2 linked regions of the Lonchura striata genome follow. The protein of the gene in region 2 purifies or fractionates together with the protein of the main gene of each other region. This does not show direct contact. Links are inferred from orthologs where the notes say so. Each region holds a gene or a part of one and is shown on either strand. Other genes may lie near its edges. The genes, in order: SNAP23 and VAMP3.

Evidence for each region.
Region 1: the proteins of VAMP3 (region 2) and SNAP23 purify together in Homo sapiens (affinity purification with western blotting; 6 studies listed by BioGRID and IntAct, with this or other methods). This does not show direct contact. The link is inferred for Lonchura striata from reciprocal best matches to the Homo sapiens genes VAMP3 and SNAP23.

The regions. Positions count from the first base shown.
Region 1 is NC_134608.1:36,267,944-36,280,293, forward strand, and holds the start of SNAP23 (synaptosomal-associated protein 23), read right to left. Parts: upstream 6,400-12,350; 5' UTR 6,261-6,399; intron 5,884-6,260; exon of another isoform or gene 5,776-5,883; intron 1-5,775. UniProt on the Homo sapiens protein: Essential component of the high affinity receptor for the general membrane fusion machinery and an important regulator of transport vesicle docking and fusion.
Region 2 is NC_134626.1:4,504,636-4,516,626, forward strand, and holds VAMP3 (vesicle-associated membrane protein 3), read left to right. Parts: upstream 1-7,023; 5' UTR 7,024-7,127; coding exon 7,128-7,129; intron 7,130-8,528; coding exon 8,529-8,610; intron 8,611-9,151; coding exon 9,152-9,310; intron 9,311-9,925; coding exon 9,926-9,977; intron 9,978-10,781; coding exon 10,782-10,801; 3' UTR 10,802-10,916; downstream 10,917-11,991. Other genes in the region: CAMTA1 (calmodulin-binding transcription activator 1), read left to right, coding at 1,815-1,878; PER3 (period circadian protein homolog 3), read left to right, coding at 11,634-11,824. UniProt on the Homo sapiens protein: SNARE involved in vesicular transport from the late endosomes to the trans-Golgi network.

The sequences.
Region 1 (12,350 bases), on a different chromosome or scaffold from region 2:
GGAGCCCAGAACTGGACACAGCACTGCACATATGCCCTCACCAGGGCTGAGCAGAGGGGCAGGATCACCTCCCTGGCCCTGCTGGCAGTGCTCCTCCTGATGAACTCCAGGTTCCCACAGGCCTTCTCGGCCACAAGGGCAGCAAGGGCTCTGTTGTCCACTGGAACCCCCGTGTCCCTCCTGGCAGAGCTGCTCTCCAGCAGCCAGCCCCAGCCTGTGCTGGTGCCTGGGGTTGTTCTTCCCAGGTGCAGGACCCTGCATTTGCCCTGGCTGGATTTCAGACAGCTCTTCCCTGCCCATCTCTCCAGCCTGTCGAGGGCCTTCTCAAGGGCTGCACAGCCCTCCGGGGTACCAGCCACTCCTCCCAGCTTTGTGTCACCAGCAAACCAGTTCCAACAGCTGACAGACAGGCTTTGTGTTCTCCTAGCTTGCTCACATCTTCCCAAGTAGCTCCAGTGTCAGCCAGCAAAAAGTTCTATAGAAATGCACAGCATTCCACTCACTTTTGCCCTAAATTAGTAGTATTTGGTATTGAAACTTATAAACTGACCCACCAATAAAGAAATACAGCTTCAAGATACAGAGGAAAAACCCTTCCAACACAGCAGGGAAAAAAGATTACTTCCAGGATTCTTCAAAGCTGAGTTATGCATGTGCTTATCTTCTGATGCTCATATTTGGACACCTGTAGTGCTTTGCCTCTTGAGATGAAACCATAATTTAAAGTGATGGCTCATAATTGTGGGGATAAATTACCTGTGTGAGTAAAACCATTCAGAACACTTAGTTAAGAGAAATATTCTGACAACCTTTCCTCAAAGATAAAGGGTTCAGCTATTTGCTGAATTTTTCTGATAATTTCCTGAGGTCTTATGTCACTGAAAAGTGACGGAACATTTTTTTCTTTTTTTCTCTAGATTTCCCAGCAAGTTTACCCACCTCCACTTTTCAGACATTGCCATAAGAGTATGTAAAGAAAGACATATTAAGATTTTCTTATTAAGGCAGGCATAAGAAAGCATGCTCTTCAAATTAGTGATTGTAATATCTGTTTTAAGTTGAATATCCAGGCCAAATGCATTAGACTCAAAAAAACCATAGTTTTATTCCTGCTAGTTTGCAGCACTGCTTTTATAAGCACAGACACAACCTACACAGTAGCTCTGCAGAGGCAATTAGTGCCATAAGGCAGAATAGGAAAACACATTTGCTAGGGAATAAAAACTTCCCACCACACAGCAGCTTAAAAACATTAAAAAAAAGCACACAACACTAATTTAAAACAAACAAAACATTTCCAAAATAGGCTGTTTCCGAAGATGTAAATACACACACAATAGCTGCAGGCCTAATTGGAATAGCTGAACATAGCAGGTACCGTTAATGAAAGATACCTCAAAAGAAATTTTAACAGTCCAGATGAGGCCATTTTTATTGAAATAACTCAGCTGTTCCAACAGAACACAGTATACATACATACCAAAAAGATACTTGTTCACCCATCTTTCTGCCTAAGAATCATAAAGATCCTACAAAGTAGATCCTTTGAGGTATCTAGCTTCAGTGTTAATGGTATATGACAAAATTACTTATAAGGCACTAAGATTACTCAATATAAGTCAAAATATACAGACAGAAAAACTTGATATGGCTATGATAACATTTGTTAGATAACATTTGTTAAGGCAAGCATTTATTTTAACACTGATGCTCAATGTCTATTTTCTTTGCCTTCCCTCTCCTACCATTTAAGAAATCCTAGCCACAAAACAGCCAAAGTAAAAAATAAAGAAGACAGCAGCCTACAAAGATATTTCATAATTATAACAATATTCTGCTATTTTTAATTTTCTTTCTAGAGGGGCAAGCTTTAAACAAGAATCTAATGCATCTTAAGACAAAGCAGTACTCCTTTAAGGAAGGCTGTGATGTCAGCTTTGTTTACTTTCTTTTATCAGTTTTCTGCAGTATTTGCTCAGTTCAACTCCCCTTCTGTCCCTTTCATAGGAAGGCCTGATACCTGCAGAGTATACAAAATTAAACTTGCTACAAAAATATACTTTCTTGAGGTAACTGGGCTCATTATACTTTTCTGCTAGAAAACAGATTACAACACATTCGTTACTTTAACTATCACTGCCTTATAAAAAGGAAGGCCATTGAGAAACCAGAGCAGCAAGGAAATAAACACAAATTTTTAATGCCATACTTTATTTGGGAGATTGTGCAAAATAGAAAGAGTTCTTTGAAACTCCAATTCCAACCTAAAGCTTTACATCTCTTCACAAGATTACTTATGTTGGGCTAAGCTATCCCACAAGTTCATCACTATAATACATAACTACGACATTGCTGCCCAAGCCAGTTGAGGATGGATTAAGCTTAAGTTACTTCTATCTCCTGGAAAAGAGGAAACAAACTTATGTCTGCACAGCCTTTTTTCCACTTACTATGCATTTAGTCATGGCTCCAAAAACCCTGAAAGCCTTTCAATTTACTCTCCTATGTGAAGCTGTTAGGTTGGAGAGGACTGAAAAGACAAAGCAAAGGTTATTGCAAAATAACGAGGGACGCAACAAGCACTTTTGGGGTAATTTTATAATGATCCATTCAAAGCATCACTGGCTTAGAGATCTTGATTTTGTTAATCAACACTCACAGAGCAGCTGAAGCATTTTAGTGGGTTCTTTGTCCAACTTGAAAAAGCTGGAAGGTGACAGACTGATGTGAGCTATGGCTAGGTCTCTATTAGCAGAAGGGTGATCCCGTGAGCCTACAGTGCAAATTTTGGCTTGGGAAAAGCATTGCTCACACTGCCACATTTGCAGTGGATCAGTCCCAAGCACTGAGTTCTGTCCCAACCCCAGCTACTGAACTGGGAGCTAACATCTGCCAAGGCAGATCTTTCATAGAGTGAGAGGAGCAAATTCAGTGTTAGGAACACCCATGGTGAGCTGACTGACTATGTCCCCAGGTTTAAATACCAGCTTGTGATCAGAAGGCTACTGAAGTATCACTTCATGCAACAGCAGTTCAGTGGCTGGCTGGTTTCCTGACAATAGGCATATTAAAAAGTTGGGGGGTAATAAAACATTTGAATGGAAAGGCCCTCGAGATTAAAGTATTGCTGTATGCAGCCAGCAACATTATAATCATCTCTGCCACCCACCTTCCCAAAGCACACTGTAAAAAATTAACATGAAACCTTTTTTTGTGGTCTCTCTCACTGGCCTAAAATACTCTACTGCACCACTAATGGTTTTTCTTGCAAGTGTTTTCATTTTCATTCAGAATTACTTGCCAACTATTTATACCAACACACTCAGTTTCCAATGCAAACAAAGTTCAAAAGCCATTACAACACTGACTTTGCACAGAATTTTCAAGTTTTCTTCAATACCAATAATCTTCTGGGACTTTTATATAAAAAGGCACATTTATATATATATAAGGCACTTCCATGGTAATGAAAGCTCTAGTAGGCAAGTTACATGACCTAAATATACTCTTCTTCAGCATTTAGCTGAGAAGCAATTCTAATGCTTATTTTCTCTAAGAAAAAAGAAAACTTAATTCCTTGCTTTATGACAGTCACAGCACATTAAGGCTGTGCTGTCCAAAGTACTCAAAACCCTTACTGATATTTATAAATTTAAGTTAACTGCAGGGTGCCACAAGGCCTGATAAAGTGCTTGTTCAACTCCAATTACACTATCCACATTTGGACAGGGAAAGGCTAACAAAAGTGACAAGTTTCCTAAAGCCAGACAGGTCTACTTGCACCAGATCAATATTGTTTTGATTGCTGGCACTTTCACAAACCCACCCTGAATAAGATTTTTGTTCTGCATCTCTGGCTAACAAGCAGTAGTTTTGTACCTCTGACAGGCTGAATACCTTTCAGAATTTTCAATGCAATTCAGAAATGGCTATATCAATTACATTTGCTACAGACTATAAATTACTTCCTTACCATCTGAAGGTCCTCTGTTTGCACCTATCCCTTTGCCTGTGAAGTTATGCTTTTAATCAATATCACAAACTTCCTCCTTCACTGATAACTTGTAAACTGGGGGAGAAGGAAACAGCCTATCCAGTGCATCTACAAGTAGGATTGAGAAATACAGTCTATGCCTTCTTACCACAAAGATAGGAACTAGCTGGTGGCACAACCCAGCTGTTGCAGCAACTGACTGGAAGCCACTATCTCATGAGCTGCATTTTTAGCTGTCAGTAAATTGGTGCAGCCTCAGGTGATTGTGGATGCTCTCAGTTCCTTCTCTTGTAAAGGGAGCTGTTGCCTTCCCCAAAAGATTGAAAAAATAATGAAACAATATTCTTAGATATGTAAATGTCAAGTATTAATTTCCTGTGCATGCTTACAAAGATCAAAATTAGATCGTTACAGAAAACTTAGTTTTTTAAAACCCTTCCTTAACACAAACAACCATCCCACTTGCTAGTTAGCTGAAATTCAGCCCAGCTAATGCAGGCACAAGGTATCGGCACCAGAATGTACTCCTCCAGATGATTATGGCTACAAGAAAAATGAATAAAGCATCTGTGGCCCTGGAGGAAGAGGCCAGGGCCCACGACCAAGACACTACTCGGCGTGCTTCCTGCTTTCCCTTATCAGCTTCCTGAACACACTGCACAAAGGCGATAGCACAAAGAATAGGCGCTACCAATGCCACCTCCTCTGTGCAGTTCAGTTCTACACTCACATCAACAACTCATTTTTGCCCCTGAAAAAGCCTCATGAAACCTCCTCCAGATCAGAATCTGGCCAATAGAAATTCACAGTCAAACTTGGATCCATTTAATGACAGCAAGAGATTCCATTTCTCCTAAAGACACAAACTACTATAGATTCCATTTCTCCTAAAGACACAAACTACTATATAATAACCTACTTCAAAAACTGCAGAGCAGAGGAGGGCAGGCACATAGACTAGCTACTAGACTGCCAGTAAGCAATTAAGTGCTCAATTAGATCAATCAAGCAAGCAATTGATAACAGAAGTGGCTTTTCCTTTGTCCCTAAACAGCTGTTCCCTCTACAGCACAGAATCATGTTTGTTTATGAAGAGGAAGTAAAACAGCACCCTTAGCTCTAAACACTGAGCATCCAGTACCCTTTCTAAGAGAACAAAAAAGAAAAGTTAGGCAAATAGAGAAGTTGCATAAAGAAATTTCCGAAGTTCCTTTAGGTTTACTTAGAGTGTCAAGTCATGTGCTGACTTCACATTAACTGAAACAGAAAGAGAAAAAAGGGAAAAAAAGCGAAAAATAAAGCTGACTCATTAGGAGCTTCCCAGAAGGACCAAGGGCATTGAGACGTACAAGTGAAAGAAGCACAAGAAGCACTTCGATTCTTATTGTTTACTACATTGACACTACAGCATTTTACAGATTAGTCTAAAGGCAGCAGACACAACACATAAGCTTAATAAGAAGCAACAAGAGGTGGGTTTTCTCCTGGACGCTACTAACAGCGCAATTCACGGGCTCTCGCCAAGCAATCAAAAACCACCTGGACACGGCACTGCCGCCCCCGGTATGGGCGAGCCCACGAGGCCTCCCCGCACACAGCTGAGGCGGGGGCTCGGAGGGCCCGGGCCCGGATCCCGGCCGCCCCATTACCCAGCACAGCCGACATAGGACGGCAACCGCACCGGGCCAGGCCCGCCTCGCCCCACAGCGGCCCCCGGCAGCCGCAGGGCGCCAGGCGGCGCGGAGGAGGACGGGACCGGAACGGACAGCCTGACACCTTACCTGGGGCGCCGCAAGCTGCCACAGCCCAACCCGTCACACACCCACCGCCGCTCCCTCGCGCCGGGCCGGGCCGCCCCCTTAAGCTCGCATGTCCCGCCCGTCCCCGCCGCCCCCGGAAGCGGCGCCCGCCCCGCCCCGCCCCGCTCACCGCCGCTCCCAGTGCGGCGGAGGAACGCGCCGCCCGCAGCGCCCTCACACGGCGGCGGGCGGGAACGGCGGCCTGCCCACCCGGCATGGCGGCGCGCGGGGCTGCCCTGCCTGCTGCCCTGCCCCTCGGGTGTCAGTGCCGGCTGGGCAGTGCCCGCGGTCCGCCCGTGCCGACCGCAGCTGCGGCAGCAAACAGTGCAGTCAAGAAGCGGCCTTATTTGTATCGGTGGGGTTTTTCTCCAGTTACTATTCTCTACTAGGACGATGAGTGTCAGTCCCCTTCTGTCACCAGTGGAGAGGAGGGCAGAAAGGGAAAGCTGCTGTTCGCAATCACCGACCTCATCCTTTTCAGCTGAACCGCGCAGCCTTTCCTGAGGTATATTCCTTCTCAGGTGTGGATAAGTTCTTCTCAGAGGTTGGTGTCACATCCCGCACCTGCTGTAGGACTGTAAGCACTGTAAACGCAGCCGGTAGTTTTCACAGCATCAGCTTACGTGGCTCCTAAAGTCCCCTCTTCCAGTGAAACTGCTGCTGAGCTCTCAGAACTCGGTCTTGGTTTCCCTTGTCTCTCTCAGCATCTGGGGGGAGTTTGGCCTCGTGAAAGGTCCCAGTGGAGTAAGGCTTACCGCACACTGCACAGCCCGCGCCCTTCCCCTCCTGCCTTAAGAACTGTCCCTGGAGCACATTTCCCAGGGGCAGCCGCCCTGCCCAGCGTGATGTCCACAGCGTCTCGCTGCTGAGATACCCGCCGTCTGCAGCGTCTGATTTGTAGAGCGGTAACACGTAGCACTAAGCGTGTTTAAAGCGCTGTATTTACACACAACAACAATAACCTCTATTACCATTATCTGCTGGTGAATGCCCCCAGCCGGCCGGTGCTGGTGCCCCCGCCATTAAGTTGGTTCGCCTGTCGGCTGTCCACGGCGGTCGGGACTGCATTTCCCGGCAGGCCCCGCGGGCACGCAGGCGTGCCGCCCAGCGTGCAGCGCGGCCCCTTCCCGCCGGCCCATTGGTGGCCGCGCCGTGCCCCGCCGAACCGCGCGGTGCTGCGGGCCGGGCCCGGTGCGCGCCGTGCCGGCACCGCTCCCGGGCGGCGGTGGCCGGGCCTCCTCGGCCCCACGGGGGAATGGGCTGCCGGGCTGCTGCCCTGCAGAGGGGTGGGATCCGTGAGTACCGGGGCTGTGCGGGGCAGAGGGCTTGGGGAGAGCGGTGGTGGCCGGGGGCGATGGGGGTTGCTGCGGCTCCGGCGGAGTGGGCGGCCTGTGGAGGGCGGCAGGGCGAGCCCGGCCGAGAGGGGCTGCGGCAGCGGCATCTCGCCTTGGGGCGGGCATGCGCTGTGCTTTGCCTCGTGAGCATCCCCTACTGCTGTTGTGATCCTGGACTTTGATGCCCTGCTGTAGAACAGGGGCGTTAGGGCGGAGGCGTCTCTGTGCCAGGTGTGTAGCTGCCCTAATGCCTCTTCATACTTGCCAGAAGTGTTTCCGGGGATGAAGTGTGACTGAATATAGGTTGTTTAGCTGCCTTCCTCATAAGCAAATATCTAAAAATGTGTTGTAGTGAAATCATGTATCAGTTTAGTGATAAATATCTGGTAACTTTAAAGGAATGGGACTGACAGCGTGAAACAAGTCATAATAGTATGATGAAATATGGGGTGTTTAAAAGTAATCCTTCATCATTGCACACAGGGTGGTTCAAATCCAAACGTACATAAAGAACTGCTTGGGTGTGCATATGGATGTCAGTTTGTAAAAGTTTATGAAATATTGGATACAAGTGACATAAATTATTGAAGTTCATTCTTCAGTATACTTCATTGATGGTTAAAGTTCATGCTTCAGTATAGATGGAGGTTTGGTAATAATCTTCTCATGCAGGTAAAAACCTTCTTTCTCACCTTCCCTTCTACACCTGATGAACTTTAAAGAACAGATAGGTTCTGAGGTGGTGTGTCCTAAGAGAGAATAGAATTGAGAATTTATGGACTTTGTTTTCAACATGAATTTCCAGGCTTACATGTCCTACATCTCTGTTGCTTATTGCTGTTCTTCAGTTATTTGCTACTTCTTTCAGTTAAACCTTAATTACTGCATTTAACAAATTGGCTGTTTTGCTGAACTGACAAATCCTGGCCTAAAAAAAACCCCAAATACTTAAGCCTTCCAAAAATTTATTAATAGCTTTGCTGAAGTTTAGAAGCTTATTCCCATTAGCATTGCAGTATTTGGGATTACTACTGCAAGTTCTAAGGGCCAATGCAATGTGTCTCTGTAACTTTTTACCTTGGAAAATAGATTTCTATCCTGAAGTAGCTCCTGTTAAAAACAACTGAATTGTGTTTTGTTTTTTTTTAAAGTCCTTGCTCGATTTCAGCTGAACTGGCAGTAAAAGGCAGCTGCACTTGCACTACTTGATGTGTTCCACTAATGACTGATTTTTGTATGTAAAGTTAGCTAAATAGGTGCTATACTCTGGCATTTTCAGTTTGGAGAAAGACATTGGTTTTACCCAAATTTTGTTCGCATGTTACCTAAGTCTGTTTGGTCACTGTGACCAGACTTCAGGCAGCTTCTATTCCCTATGTTCAAAAATATCACATATGTGAAGAGATGTCAGCTAAAGACATTTTAATTCCTGCAGAACTGTCAATCCAGTACAGAGTAACAGCAGTCCTCTAAATGCATACCTAAATTGTATACAGAGATACAACTTGTAGTATCTAGGTAAATCTATCAATTTTCTTTCCATCTTATCTTGAAAAAACTAATAAGATATCCAGAATAAAATGTAAATTTGTTCAGGATCAAATTTAAAATGTTGAAGTTTTTTTTTAGCATGTGGTAATCCTCCTCTGTGAACTCTGCCACCAGATGGTGTCATAAGATTTGAGGTGTTATCTGGCTCAAGTTGAGTCTAGCAAAGTAAAAGGATACTATACCTTACAAGTAACTTCTTTGTTTTTATAAAGCTATGTTTTATATTTGTAATGTAAGGTTTTTGAGTTTCTTTCATCAAGTCCCAGAATATTTTACATTTTGATCTTATTGTGGTAGAGCTGCTGGTGTTCAGCCCTGAGATAAACTACATTACAGAGATATACTAATTTAGGCAGAGCCCTGTATTTCTATTACCTGGTCATTAATGACTACTATCTTAGTATTTGAAATCCTTAACTTGAGTTTTCTTGGCATGAAAGCTGTTTATACTGAAAAGTGACTTGAGTACCTTGGTTTGAATGTTTCAAATCACCCTCCAGTGATTCTTCATACTCTGTAATGACAATATAAATAGAAGAAGCCAAATTACTTACTGAATGCTCTCCCTGCTTGTTCTCTTGTGTCTATACAGATCTTTTGTGGGGAGTCTGAGTTATTTTGACAAGGCCAGGTATCTGTTACTGTGGAACTGCAATAGATAGGATACATAGAGTAATCTGTTTTGATGTGGCTTTTGATCCTTGTTTTTAACTTATTAGTGAAAGAGACATTGTATGAATACCTAGGAAGGATATGATGAGCTTAAATAGCCTAGGAAAGGGGAAAAATTATACAACTTAATGTTACAGAAGTAAGTGTAAAATTAAGTGTTGGGTATTTCTGTCATTCTTACAAGGTCTGTAAAGTGAAGACCCTTTATAAAGTGACTCAAGGTTACCAGAATAAGTTGATGAGAATTCTTTTGTAAGTCACAGTAGTATTTAAATTATTAGATTTAAATGTTTAAATCTAAAATTTAATTGGGTTGTTTTTTGCCACATCTTGTGGATCACTATGTTGCTTCTTAGTAAGAGTTTGTCTCAGGCATTATGAATTGTGTTTGAGGCTGTAGTAGTAGTAGGGATACACAGACAACTCCCTTCTCCTAAGGGTGCACATAGGGATGTTAGCTGAAGTGCTACATCTGTTTTTGAACAATCCTTTTAAGTGCTTTGGGCAGTTTGGAAAGGGGAATAGCTATTTTAATAAGCTCAGGAAATGTGATGTTTGAGGAGAACATCTGGAGAAAACAAAACTTTCATATGCCTTAAACCAAATAGGGAGTATGGGAGAAGACAGAAGCTTTCCAGGTGTGTGGATTTTACATGTTCTAAGTGACAGCATACAGCAATAATGCTGTACAGTTCTTCATTCCAGTTTGGACAGAATAGATTCCTGAATCTTCTGGTGTGTGAGAAGCTCTCATGAGAAAGATAGAAGGCATTTAGTTTTACTAGAGAGAAATTATCATCTTGATTTACAGCAAGGAAAACTTACTTTGTATATTAAGAAATTATTAGCATTCCTTATGTATAGGAGTTGGAAAGATGCAGTTTGGTTGTGGCTTAAAGTGTATATCTGGTCTGTGCTCTGTTCTGAGACTTACGTGAAATAAAAATAGAAGTCAGTGAAAACTCTGTTCCTGCCAGGTGTTCTGTGCCTCTGCTGGTCTGTTTAAGATATTTCTCTGTGGTGCCCTTATCTCCAGTAGACTTTCCCTGTATGTTGTAAAAATCCCAGCCATACTTATGAGATAGCACTCATTTTCTGCTAGATGTTTTCTAAGCCAGGTAGTGAAGTAAATGTTATTGCTTTTAACAGGAGCTTAAAGAACTTTGATCTGTGAAATAACTCTTTTTTTCCTGGCTTGATGTCAAAACAGTTGAGCACTTGTCTGCCCAATTAAACATTTGCTGTGTAGTGGTGCTGCTTCAGTGCTCAGGGGTCTAGACTACCCTTAGATTGTCACATGGATAAAATTAAATCTTGGAAAGCAGGGAGAAATTTACCTTTAAAGCTTTGTACTCTGGTACAAGTATTTTAACTTCTGGAGTGTGATACAGTTTTCTCCTTTGCCCTGTAAAAATAAGAAACCAACTACAAAGTAGTTTGTACAGTGCCTGACAGTGTGCTGGGGGAGAATCATGTTGTTAGTCATGACTTAACTTTAGTAAATCCTTAAGTTTTCGTTTTTTGCCTGGGTTTAGGTTGCACAGATCAACATCTCAGAAGGAAAGTTAGTGCCTCACACATGTGCTCAGAAGGAGGGTTAAGGTAATTAGTAGACGTTATGGTCTGGCGGGGATGTGTAGTAAATTCAGATGCTTGAAGGGCAACAAATCTTGGAAGGGAAGATAATCTCTGAATGATGGTGCTTTATTCCATGTAAATTCTGCAGGAGGTGATGAAATTGGAACATAGGGCTCTGTACTATTACTGTTACTATTCTACAGTTCAGCTGATGTGCGTGCAATTGGTTGCTGCAGGAGAGAAGTCACTGAGGCACTAGGAGTGACATCTCTGCAAGGAGCTGAGCATGTTGCTGCAGAAAATTCTGCACAGTGATTTTGTAGCCTCCTGTTCTTCTCAAGTGTTGAGTTTCCACTGTTCTCTGTAGGGGCATGCAGCATTTAGGCAGGCTTTTGGACAGGCCAGTGCTGCTGATCTCTTTGAAGCCTTCTGAGGATTTCTAGGCAGCTGGAATGCCAGGCTGCATACCCCACTCCATGGCACTCGTGGCTTTATATAGTCGGAATGTTCAGCCACTCATCTGTAGCAGATTTAATCTTGACGTACATTTTTAATGTATGTTATCCGCTAAGGTTGAATAACTATGGACAAATGGATGTTGTAGCAGGAAGTAGTCTAATGTCTAATTTTTGTAAACTATTTTTATTTGTGGGAAGGGTTCTCCAAAATCTCTGTAGCAGTCTTTCTTAATTTAATTCAAGCTCTGTGGTGTTCCTAAGCTCTGTACAGGTGCAGACTATGGGCAAGTTGTGTTTACATCCCCTAGTTGTAAAATGCATCCCTTCCCTTTAAAACAAACAAATAAAAAATGACCCATTGATGTTACATTCTCTCAAAATAGAAAGTTGTTGTAATATTTAATTTGTTGCAAAGGCTTTACATTCTGCTCTTAACGTGTTCTTTTTATATGATGGTGGGGTCTTTTTGGCAAAACCTTATCTTTGTTTTCAGTTTGCTCATTTTTTAGACTAGCTCATCTTTCCTACTCAAGTCCCATAAAAAGTAATTTTCTATGTTATACAGCAAGTTGATGATTTCAAAAGCACAAGATGTTAAAGCTGGTAAAAGCTTGAAGGTTGTTTAAGGTTAAAGTATGTGGAGTTTTTTTAAGAATTCAAATGTGCCTGCATTTATCTCAAAAGCTCTGTTTCTGAAGTTTCTTCATGAATGGAAGTTTTGAGATTGAGCAGACCAGTATATGATGAGATGAATAGTAGTGACTACATGGCTCAAAAGGTGTCTGATTCTTGCTGATTTTGCATAGTGTCTGAGGAAATACCTTTGATTTATCATGTTATTCAAAATACTTCATAGAAGTGCTTTTACAGTAAAATTGAAGTACTTAATTAAAGTGATCCACAAGTGTTCATAGGTTTAGCAGCATTTGGGAGAAAGCTAAGGATGATGGGAAGTGCTTTATAT
Region 2 (11,991 bases):
AGCTCTGTCCAAGCAGGAGCTGAGAACCCCTGGTGCTGTTGGCTGTCCCTTCCTCAGCCTGGGGACCAGAGCACTGCTTGGCACCTGGGAGAGCCTGCTGGGCTGCTCTGGGCTTGGATTTCAGGAATGTCAGGGTCTCTCCAGCAGTGACCTTCAGCCTCTGAACACACCGTGTGCACTTGGCCTGGCAGAGCCCTCTGTCTTTCCATACATGATATTCTCCAACAGTGGAATTAGGATAATTAACAAAGGTCTAACCTGCATACAGGTTAGTCTGATTTAGTCTGATTTGACCCCTGCTGGCCACATTTCACAAATACTGAGAATGCATTTGAGTGCTAGAGCCTTTGAGTCAGGTAAAACAGAGGTAAAAGCAGCCAGCTCCCTTTTCACTGTGGTTCTGACTAATAGTACATGCAGAAAAATTAATAAATAAAACAGTGAAATGGAGGTGTATTTATAGAGATCAATTTATAGCCTTCATTCTGTCCTTATATTAGCAGGCTGGTGCAAGAGCCAAAAGATGTGTGGGTGTAAGTCTATGCACAGTAGTTACAAACTGTCACTGCTGCTGCTCAGCTGTCCTGACATGTTTTCTTACTTTTATTTACTTGGACTTTGTTACATTCTTTCACTTGCAGCTGGTTGCATTACACAGTCTTGCAACTCTGATGCTATTTTTTGTATTATACCTTTGTTACTTGTCCTTTCAAATTTTTGCAGCATCACATGAGCACTCGAGCCTAACAGGCTTAGCTAAATCACTTTTTTTTTGCTGTAATCTACTCCTTTTGCGGGGGACTTCCCCTTGCAGGAGCAGAGTGGAGACATGTGGAGGATGCAAAGGGATCTCACTGCAGAGGAACTCCCTGTTAGTGGAGGCAGAGCCAGCCCCAGGCACAGCTGGGCACCTTTGGGACAGCACGGGAATGCCTTTGGATTTGGTCTGGCTCCTTTGCACTGCATACAGCCAGCTTCTCAGCCTGAGCAGAAGGTTTCCTGCTGCCCCAGCTCCAGTGCAGAGCTCCTTTTCACTTGATGGGATTAAATTATTCCCTTCTTTTCACCCTTTAATTTATTTTTTAACTTTTTCAGCTTTCAGTGATGGTTTAGTTCTTGTGTTGATGAGTTAGAGGAGGTAATGGATGGCATGCATTTGGGAAAGTTGAGAACTGGCCACATCTAGGAAGAGTGACTTCCACACTGTAGGTCCATCTCCCTTGGCACACAGCATCCTGCACTGCTGGGACAACACACAAACATTTTGCCAGCAGCATGATGAAACACAGGGCACAGCAGCTGGAGCACTTGTGAAACAAAGCACCTTCCTTCACACCCACACCTGTTCTTGTGCTTGTACATAAACACTTCCTTACGTGAGGTTCTCTGTAAACACCAGGCTTCCTTTCCAAGCTGGACAGAGAGATTTTCCCCCACTGTGCTGTCGCTGCCTCAGCACTGTGTGGAGAAAAGGGTCAGCTCTGAGCAGCCCCTTTGCCGTGAGCAGCTGCAGGTCAGGCAGGGAGCAGCAGTCCAGGGAGCCCCAAGGAGTCAGGCTGGCATCACAATGAAGCCCAGCTAGTTGGAAAAGCAGTAGCTGGACCCAAGTGTGTCTCTCCAAAGGTGTTTGGGATCTCCAGAGGCCCTTTCTGCGCTTCCAACTGTTTATGGTGTTGGGAAGGTGTTGCTTTCCTGTCGTGTCTCTGGGAGCCGCCTCTTCTGCACGGGAGGTTGGAGTGATGAATCCTTTTGATTATTCTGTCTTTGAGAGATTTGCAGTAGAAGTGTTACATAGCTCCTCTTTGTTTTTTCAGAGTGAAAGAATTGAAAAAGGCCAAGGAACTTGAAGATACGCAGCAGCATCCCGTAGCAATGTGACATTGCTTTTCAGACTGTTTTCATTTTCTGTTTTTAGCAGAGACATGCAACAACAACAAAAATACCCACTGCAGTTCTGGAAATACCAGCTGCAGGATTTTAACAGTAATGTTTTGGTCATTGCATTTGCACTTTCATGGACAACTTTTAATTTGTTCAGCAAGACATCTTGGAACTCAATCTTCTGTTGGATCGTGGGGAAAACAAGACACCAGGAGGAAATTGTGAGTTGCTTCATTCTCCGAGGAGGAAGGAAGAAGCGATTAATTATCCTTTTCATATAGGGCTGTATTAAACAACATGTGGAACTGTACAAATATTATACCAAAAATATTGTTCAGAAAAGGTGGGAATGCACAAGCAACACAAGAATGCTGTTCCTGCACCTGTCAGTCATCTCCAAGAAACTGAAGCTTTGAGAGTCTCAGTGGAGGGGCTTAGATCAGTACATCTTTATTGGGTCCATGCATCCTCATTTCCTTCGCACTCCTGTCCTTTGTGTTTTATTTAAACCTCTACAGCACACTTAATGCAACTTTTTAAATCTGCAGGTTTTTAATACATCCCGTGGGAACTTACAGGAGGGGTTTGGTGTACGAGAGACACGGGTATTGCATGAGGAATGGAGAGAGCAGCTTAAGCAAATTTTACACTTTTTTTTTTGTATTTTTACTAGAACCTGCAAACATATCAACTGTCATGTACTTCCTCTCATATTCAGCACTTTATTTTCTAGCCTTACCTTCATGTACTATTGTTTTAATTAAGTTCTCAAATAATTTGTAAAACATGTAGCTTTTTCTCTTATGTACTTGTCAAACCTCTTGTCATTTTGCAGAGTCACGTACATATGTTGCCTGGACATTTTATGCCACCTAAAGATCAGTGGTGCTGCATTCTGGCCAGTAAATTTCTTATTTTGGCTACTTCATCAAAATCTGGGCAGTTTCTGTATATATAGAAGGTAGAAATGGAAAATGAGAAAAAAATATTTGAAAGGGAATATATTGATTAATTACTAAATATTTTATTCACAAAGGGTCAATAACTTGGCAAGATAAAATTATTATTTGTATAGTTTTGTCTGAATGAACGAGAAGAGTGTGGATGTATTGTTTGTACATATTGTATATATTAAAGAGATATGTGCATGAACTCAAGAAAAAGAAATGAACAAAGCAAAGCATTAGTGGCTATGGTCTGTAAAATGAAACAAAAACTTTATTTCACTATAAGAAACTTTATTTTAAATGTTCTTTAGAAGAACATTTTTGCTAAAGCATGACTAAATGGCAAAAAAGAGCTACTGTATTTAGACTTAGGAAAAAAAAGGCAGAGCAACATTACTTTAAAAAAAAAAAAAAAGAAAAAAAGGATATGTTTACATTTGATTTTGGCTACCAGGAGTTTGGTTCAGTTGGGTTTAATTTATGTATTCCTTCCTTCTTTTTTTTTACCCCCGTCTTTTTTTTTTCCTTTTTTTTTTTTTGCCAATGGTGCCAAGTAATGTGAATGCTAATATTGCTTAAGAAAATTAAGTTACTTTTGCAAAGCAGATAATCATAAGAGTACAAAAACCGTATCTAGCTTAACACCATACACTCACTCCAATAAAGAACACTTAGAATGAACATAAAATGAAAAAAAATAAATAAATAGTACGAAAGTAGAAAATATGTTTCACATTTTCATATCTCCTGCTGGAAGTCAGAAAATGTAATAAAAATTGCACAAAAAATTTTAAAAAATTAAGTAAAACTTAAAAAAAAAAAAAGATGCAAACTGATCCTGTAGGGGTGTCATGGTATATTGCTATTTCCACATAGTGAGGAGCCAAAGAAATTAGATTTTTTTTAAATTGAGCTACTAATTTAAAACTGTCACAAATTCTCAACAATGGGAACCAGTTCTGATCTTCATTACACAGGAATGTAAGGGAAGAAACTCCTGAAGTCCGTGTCATTACTTGTGGGTCACGTACATGTGTCTGAGATCAGAAACTGCTCCTGTCTGTTTGTCTCACTCGTGGCAGTTTAAAATTTCTGAATGAACTTGTGTAAATTTGAGATTGTTAGTTTTGGAATAGTTGTTCTTGCTTGATCCCGGCCACCAACTGCAATGTTTAAACGCAAGGCTTGTTGTGAAGCCAAAAAATATTCACACATAGGAAGCTTTGAAACTGGTGTCTTTAAAAGAAGAGTAAAAACAAAGATTGTGGCAAAAAAACTGGGGTCAGTGCTCTTGGTGCCTTTTCTATAATTGTACCTGTTTTTAATTACTTCTTTTCACTGCCAGCATTGAATTACAGTAGATGTGCTATAGCTCATTATCAGAATTCTCTTGTACATTTCTGAACTGCTGCTTTATGACCTGATTCAATTTTAAAAAAAGGGAAAAAAGCAAAACAAATGGCCTGGCGCTCACACTGTGCCTGTGGGCAGCCTCGTGGCCTCAATTTACTGTCTGCAATTGGAACATTAACCATTAAATTTTCTTCTCACACCAAAACAGAACAGGAGACGCTGGAGAATCTCCTTTGGAATGAATTGGAAATGCTCTGTATTAGTACTGGAAGAACTCTTGACATTTTGAAACTGAAATACTGCACCCATTAACCAATACGTGACAATATAGAATTGATCTGTTCCAAACAAGAGTAGTGACCTCAGTGGAAATGTTTTAACTCCTCGTCTTTACAGAAAACGATTCAGTAATATACAGAGCTATTTCAAATTACTCTTCCAGATCCATGGGCCTGGTGGTGTATCTACTAATCTAGATCCTGCTTCAGCCAAACGTTTAAGCCTGTGCTGGCTGTGAAGCATGCAGGCAGTTCTGCAGCACAGCTCCAGGACTCCTGGCGTGCTTGGAGCCAGTTCAGCTCCCAAGTGCTTTGTTGTGTCGGGCCGTAACCCTTCAGTGTGTCACTGGGGAGGGAGCAGCTCTCCCCCGCAGTGAAGTGATTCTTCGAACCCTCTTCTTGGTTGTGGAACTTAACATTTTCACCTAAGATAAGTAAGTGCAGCTTTCTAGGAAAATTCAAATTCCCAAGTGCCAGGAGCCAGATTTTCTGTCTTCTGATAATAGAATCGCTCCTTTGTGAAACACATTCGACAGCAGTAATACTGTGTGAAAGAAATACAGAATATAACATGAACCCCCTCTCTGGTTGCACGCTTATGGCAGTTCCACACAATAGCTGGTGCCCAATGGGGGGTCCCCAAGACTTGCATGTAAAACTAGTATAGATGTCTTCTCTTTTGTAAGTTTTATTTTTGTAACTGTGCATGTAAAGCATCACTGAATCAATGGATCTGTTGAAGAACTCAGCTGCTGGAACCATGCAAAATGTTTTGAATTGCCCTTAAAATATGGAAAATGTTTTCTGAATGCTTTATATTCTTTCTGCTGTAAATTAAAAAAGAAAATTTCCCCATACAAAGTGTGTGCCTTCTTCTGAACACGTCTCTTCTTCTGAACACCTCTTCCATCCTTCTTTGAGAACAAAGTAGTCCTTTAGTCACTCTTAAGGAACCACACACAAAAAAAAGTTTCTGCTCTACACGACCTGCTTGTAAGAATATTGCATCTGATTTCTTACAGGTTATGATGTAACAGTCCACAGCCTGCCCATGAGCAGGTGCAGCCCCCAGAACTTTGTTTGCAGTTCCTCTGCAGTGGGCAGTCACTTCCAAGGTTTTTTGTGAGAAACCATATAGAGCTGGTAGCAAAATAAATCCTACAGTGTACACAAAGCAGAGTGAAACAGCAGAATTCAAGAGGGCTGCTGATGCAGAAACCTGAGAGGTCACATTTAATGATACAATTAACTGAGACACAATAACTGTTGCGCTAATAAGTATGTTGCTCCGCTCACATGAACTGGTCCTCGGGAACAAAACTTGTACCAGACTAATGGCAAGCCCAGCAGGCAAAACCTGAAAGCAGGTTTAATAAATTAATTATCTGGTCTGTCAGAGACTGTGTTAGTACCATCATGAGTAAGCTTTTCCAAAACCCAGCTCCACAACTGAAGATTTCAATAAGAGTTTCTTCTTGACTGCAGAGAAAGTTTGATTACGTTTCTCTTTTAGAATAAATCAGCATTTAACTCTCCAAATCGCTCCCATTTTTCCATCTTACATAGCTGTTAGTTGCTGGGTTCTTTCCTATCGTGGCGGGTTGACCCAGTCCTGAAAGAAGGCGCCTCCTCCTTCATCCCCAGGGGCATCGCGGGAGAGAACTGAAGACCAAACATGAGGGAAAAAGAAATGCCCGGGATGAGATAAAGTTTGATAAGGAGGGGAAAAATAAAAGATAACTCAGAATACGTGGTGCAAAGGCAGCCAGCGCCTCCCTCCCACCGGTGCCCTGCGGAGTTCGGTGTTCGCTGGCGGAGCAGCCCCGGGGCTCCTGCGGGAGCGCTGCCGGCAGCACCGACCCCCGGCGTGTGACCGTGACCGGCCCTGCTCGGGGCACCGACAGCTCCGTGCGGCTGCCGGGAGCGGCGGCTCCAGCCCCGCCGGGACCGGGCGGCGAGCGCGGGGCGGCCCTGCAGCCAGGGCGGGGGACAAGGACAAAGATAAGGACATGGACAAAGACAAACACACCCCCGGCTCCCCTCGTGCGCTGCACGGAGCGCTCGGACACGAGTGACAACGGCACGGAACGCTCTTGGCTGTGTCTGTCTGTCCGTGCGTCCCTCCCCGCGTGTCCGTGCCCCTGTCAGTGTGTGCGTCTGTGTGCCCATGTCTGTCTGTCCGTGTGTCTGTGTCTGTCCGTGTGTCCGTGCCCGGCCGCTCTCCCCGTTCCGTTGTTGCCGTTGCCGTTCCCGTGCCCGCCCGGGGCGGGCGGTGCCGGCCCAGCGCCCGGCAGCGGCCGCAGCCCCGCCCCTGCAGCCCGCGGGGGCAGGGCCATGGCCCGGCCCCGGTCCGACTCCGCCCCGCGCCCCGCTCCGCTCTCGCCCATCGCCCCCGCCCCGGTCCCGCCCCGGCCCCGGTCCATCGCCGCCCCGGTCCCGGCCGTCGCACATCGCCCCCGTCCCGGTCCTGTCCCGGTCCCGGCCGTCGCACATCGCCCCCGTTCCTATCCCGCCCGGGCCCGAGCCCGTCGCGCCCGCCCCGAGCCCGGCCCGGGTCCCGCCCATCGCCCCGAGCCCGCCCCGTGACTCGTCAGCGCGGGCGCCGCGCGCAGCTCCCGCTGGACCCGCCCGGGCGCTGCCGCCGCCCCGTCCTCGTCCCACCGCCAGGATGTGAGTGCGGGGCGAGCGGGGGACGCGGGCAGCGGGGCGATCCGGGGAGCGGGGGACGCGGGCAGCGGGGCGGGCGCAGCGGCGGCGGGAGCAGGGCCCAGCCCGGTCCGGCCCGCGGGCGGGGTGCCGGGAGGGGTGCGCGGCGGGGCCGGCGGCGGAGGCGAGGCCCGGCCCGGCCGAGCCCGGGGCCGCCCGCCGGAGCCGCTGCTCGGGCCGGGAGCGGGGCACCGGCCGGGCTGCCCCGCCAGCCCCGGGCGCGGCTCGGAGCGGGGCCCGCCCTGCCCGGCACCGGGGCGTTGCTCTGTTTGCAGCCTCGCAGGAAGCGCTGTCATTTCCGAGGCTGTTCACCTGGCACTGAAGCGGCACCAAAGGGTGGTGGCAGCGCCAAAACAGTGACACTGTGCCGGCACCGAGCCTTGCCCCGGCTCCAGCGCCAAAACAGTGACACTGTGCCGGCACCGAGCCTTGCTCCGGCTCCGGTGCCAAAACAGTGACACTGTGCCGGCTCCGAGCCTTGCCCCGGCTCCGGTGCCAAAACAGTGACCCTGTGCCGGCTCCGAGCCTTGCCCCGGCTCCGGTGCCAAAACAGTGACACTGTGCCGGCTCCGAGCCTTGCCCCGGCTCCCGCGCTGTGCCTGCACTCGTTACGTGCAGTTAGAGGCCAATGTCTAAATGTGTATACACAGGAAACAGACTTGGCTGCTTGGAGTGCCAGGGTGCACTAAACAAGCTTTCACATCTGATGTGAAAGAGCTAAGAACATGGAAAAGGAAATTGAGTGCTGATAGTTCTAGAGATGTGCATTAAAACCTGGCCAGGTGGTGAAAAGGTAATGAAGAGTATGTACAGAAGCTCTTGCATCCGTTATAAAGATGCAGAGTGTTGTAGCTGGTAAAAAGAACTCTGTTACGAATTTAAAGCTGGCCAAAAGTAAATTTTTGTGTTTTCCAAATACTTTTTCCTTCTGGTGCATTCTCTTGTTCCATATCAACCATTTCAAAAGAATACAGAAGTGTCACTGGAAAATCACATAGCTATAATAAGTATTAAGTTTTTGTATTTTATTTTTTGTAAACTACTATTGCTTGAAACTTAGTACCTGTGTTCATATGGGAAAGAAAGAACACCCTGAGTCCAAATTGCTCACTGAGGCCTATGGAGCATTGCTGGAGCTGACCCCTGCCTCATTGCAATGTGTGGTGTTAGCAAGCCACTGCTGCCTCTTGGGACAGCATGCAATTTGTTCACAAGATGTTTGGGACACTGCATGAGTTGTGCTCACTGACAGCTGTTAAAACACCATTTCTGCAGTAAGAAAGTGCCCTGTATTTATTACATGGATACCAGTGTCCCATTTTCAGGACTGTCAGATGTCTAATGGTGCCTTTCTTTACCACAGGTCGGCCAATGTCCCTGGAAGCTCAAATATGGCTGCTGGCAGCAATCGCCGGCTTCAGCAAACCCAGCACCAAGTAGACGAGGTAAAAGTCTGGTCTGCTAGTAGTGTCAGCCTCTTCCTGCAGGAAACCTGTGCAGTTAGAAGGGATATTTTTTTCCAGAGCAGTTTTCCCTTCATTATATGAAGGGGAAGCAAACAGAAGTTCCCAGTGTCCAAACATCAGCTGCAGTCTTGGTGCAAGATTTGGCATAAGTAATGACAAAAACCTTTGTTTATAGCCATGAGAGCTGGCTACCAAATGTGATTCTTGTGGAGTCCAAAAGCCAGGCTGGCAAGTATTTCTTGACATGGTTTACTATCATGTTTATATTCCTCAACTCCTTCTGAAGCAAGTCAGGAATTGTTTCCCAGGTCTGAGGGCATGCCAGCACTACTGACTTTTTAAAACAGGCATTCAGGGCTTTTAGCCATAAGTGGATTTCATAGTTTTCTTGAAGTTTATGGCTGAATATACTAAAAGGCAATAGCTCCTGCTTCTGAGAAAGCACGGAGTACCTCGTGCAGCTGCTTGCTGTCTGTGATTATGTTGCACACCACTTACTGTAAGTGTTGAACTGCTGTAGGTTGTTGACATCATGAGAGTGAACGTGGACAAGGTTTTGGAGCGGGATCAGAAGCTGTCAGAGCTGGATGACCGTGCTGATGCCCTGCAAGCAGGGGCTTCCCAGTTCGAGACCAGCGCTGCCAAGCTGAAGAGGAAGTATTGGTGGAAGAACTGCAAGGTAACCTCGGCTTGTGTGCTCACTCTGCGCCTGTAACGCTGTCACATCTGTGTTTCAAAAGGCAGGAAATGTTTAGCCAATGTTTTTTAAGTCACAGCATCTAGTTTTTAAAGCATGGCATTACTTTTTAAAGTAACAAGCAGCTGTGTTACCGGCCGTGCTGCCCTAGGCAGGATCTTGTCTGATAATGGCCAGAGGGAAGCATGTCAGTAATCTGAGGCTTTGAGAAACAAGAAGAAAAAGCTAAAAATGCATAGCTTGAATTAATGTGTGGGAAGTATTAGAAAGTGGAAGAAGCTCACTCAGACTCCTGTACTTGTAGCTGTTGCCAAAGGTTGGATTCATCTTTGGTGAGTAACAGAACAGCTTGTGCATTCACTTGGGACAGGCTTTATGTGGAGAAAGTCATATTGCTCTTTTTGCCTGTGTGCATGGCCTGCCACCTCTGAGTGCTAGTAGTGGATTAAGCTTGCTGACTGAAGAACCTTTGCTTGCTACATTAGATCTGACAACCAGTGCTAAAAGTCCCTTGCAGGGGCTGTTTTCCTGTACCCTGAGGGGCTTTTGGTGCTGTTGCATGCTGTGTAGTAAGTGTTGTATGTCTTTTTTTCACAGATGTGGGCGATATTGATAGGTGTTGTTGTCATTATCATCGTCATCATTATTAGTAAGTTTGACCAAAATGGGGGTTTCTCCTAGATTTGGAATGGATGGTGTTAATTTGTTGACTGGTACAGTTTAAGCAAAGGCAGGATACTCAGCTGGAGTATATCCAACGTGAATCTGAAATAGCAGTGATGGATTTAACAACAATTGCATGCAGTGCGTGGCAGACTGTGATAACGTGGGAGCTCCAGTACTGGAATCTCAACCACAAGTGAGGGTGACAAAGGTGAAAGTGAAAATAGCAAGGACTTGGAAACCAGGAACAGACTTGGGTTTATTTTACAGCTGCCTGCTGCAGAAGTGTAACATGAGTTTCCACACACTGTCCTTGTCTGAGAACTGTTATCATCTGCCTTGACTTCCTGCTTTCTTGTGGCAGTTATGAGTGCGCTGCCGTAACAGGGAGGTTTGATCAGAGGTTTGGCTGCTGAGTGAAATGAGGTTAAAATTGGGTTAGGATAGAGAGCCAGGTGTGGAATGGTTCAGTCTTTGAGTCCTCATGGAATTGCTGAGGGTTTAAAGGGGAGACAAAGTTTTTAAGTTTGTGCTGTAACAGTAACAAGCACAGCAGTAACCATTGACAGCAGATACATAGTCCCATGTGCGAACACAAGGGAAAAATACAACTGAGAAAACCAACATGGGCAAATTCTTAGATTTAAGGGTTAATCAACTGAGAAAACCAACATGGGCAAATTCTTAGATTTAAGGGTTAATCTCTATTATCTTAAATTCTTAAAATGCAGGATTGTTATGATGAGGGGATGAAGGACATTGCCCAACTTTTCTTTTTTTCTTTTTGTAGTCTGGAGTGCATATTCATGAATTACAAGAAGAAGCTCCATTCAACCGAAGGTGCCTTTGAGAATCTCCTTCAACCTCTCCACTTCAAGCCTGCTGCCTCCTCAGCCCGTTTACTGCTATTTAAAGCGAAACTCTTTTGATGATCGCGACGTTTACTAACCTCACTGGCGGCCTTAAGACACTCCCGTCATTAATCACTAACCAGCAGCTCCGGCCCGCGCCTCGCCTCAGCGGCCGGGCCGGGCCCCGCCCCCTTGGCCACGCCCCGGGGCGGGGCCGGCGCCGCACGTGGCGGCGGGGCATGCGCGCGCACGGGGGCCGCGTGCGGCGCCGCGTGAGGGGCGGGGCTCCGCCCCCGCCCGCGCGGGCCCCGCCCCCCGCGCGCGGGCTCCTCCAATAAAAAGCGGCTCCGACCCCGCCTCCGCCTCCTGCTGTGTCCGCGGGGCGCGGCGCACGCGGCGCGGGTGTGTGGGAGCGGCGCCGCCGCGTGCGCCGCCGTTACGTAACGGCGCGCGGCGGGGGCGCGGCCCCTCAGGGCGCTCCCGGCCCGCCGCGGGGGCTGCCCGGGGTCGGCGGGAGGGAGAGGCGCGGCCTCGCAGGGGCGGGAGGGCCGAGCGGAGGCCGCCGCGCCGGACGGCTGCGAGCTGCGGGAGGGGGGGAGCGGCGCGGGAGCGCAGAACCGGCCCCGGTGACCGCGCGGCTGTGGAAGCGCGGAGCGGGGCGGGGGCAGCGCTCCTCCCACCGTCCCGTGAGGCGGCGCGTGCTCTCCCCGCAGCGCAGGCCGAGGGTCCGGCCGTGCCGAGCGGCCGCGGCAGCCGATGCCCCCCGCGCTGTGGCGCTCAGCGGACCCGCGATGGACGCGAGCGAGCGGCGAGGCGGCAGCGCGGAGCGAGGCGCGGCCGCGGCCGCCTGGGCCGGCGGCGGGCGGGAGGCGGCGGCGCCCGGGGGGGCTGCGGGCGCTCGGTGCGCGGCGTGCGCGGGGAGCGGGACCGAGCTGCACCGCCCCGAGTCCGGCGGCGGCCCGGCCGCCGAAAAAGCCAACAGGTACCGGGGCGGAGCGCGGGGATGCGCTCGGTGGGAGCGGGGAGCGGGGCGCTGCTCGGGCCGTGCCGCCCGGGGCGGCGGGGGTCACGGGCCGCGGCGGGTGCGCCGAGCGTGGAGCTGCTCCCGTAAGCTGTGCCTCCTTTGGGATCGGCTGAGCCGCGCACGTC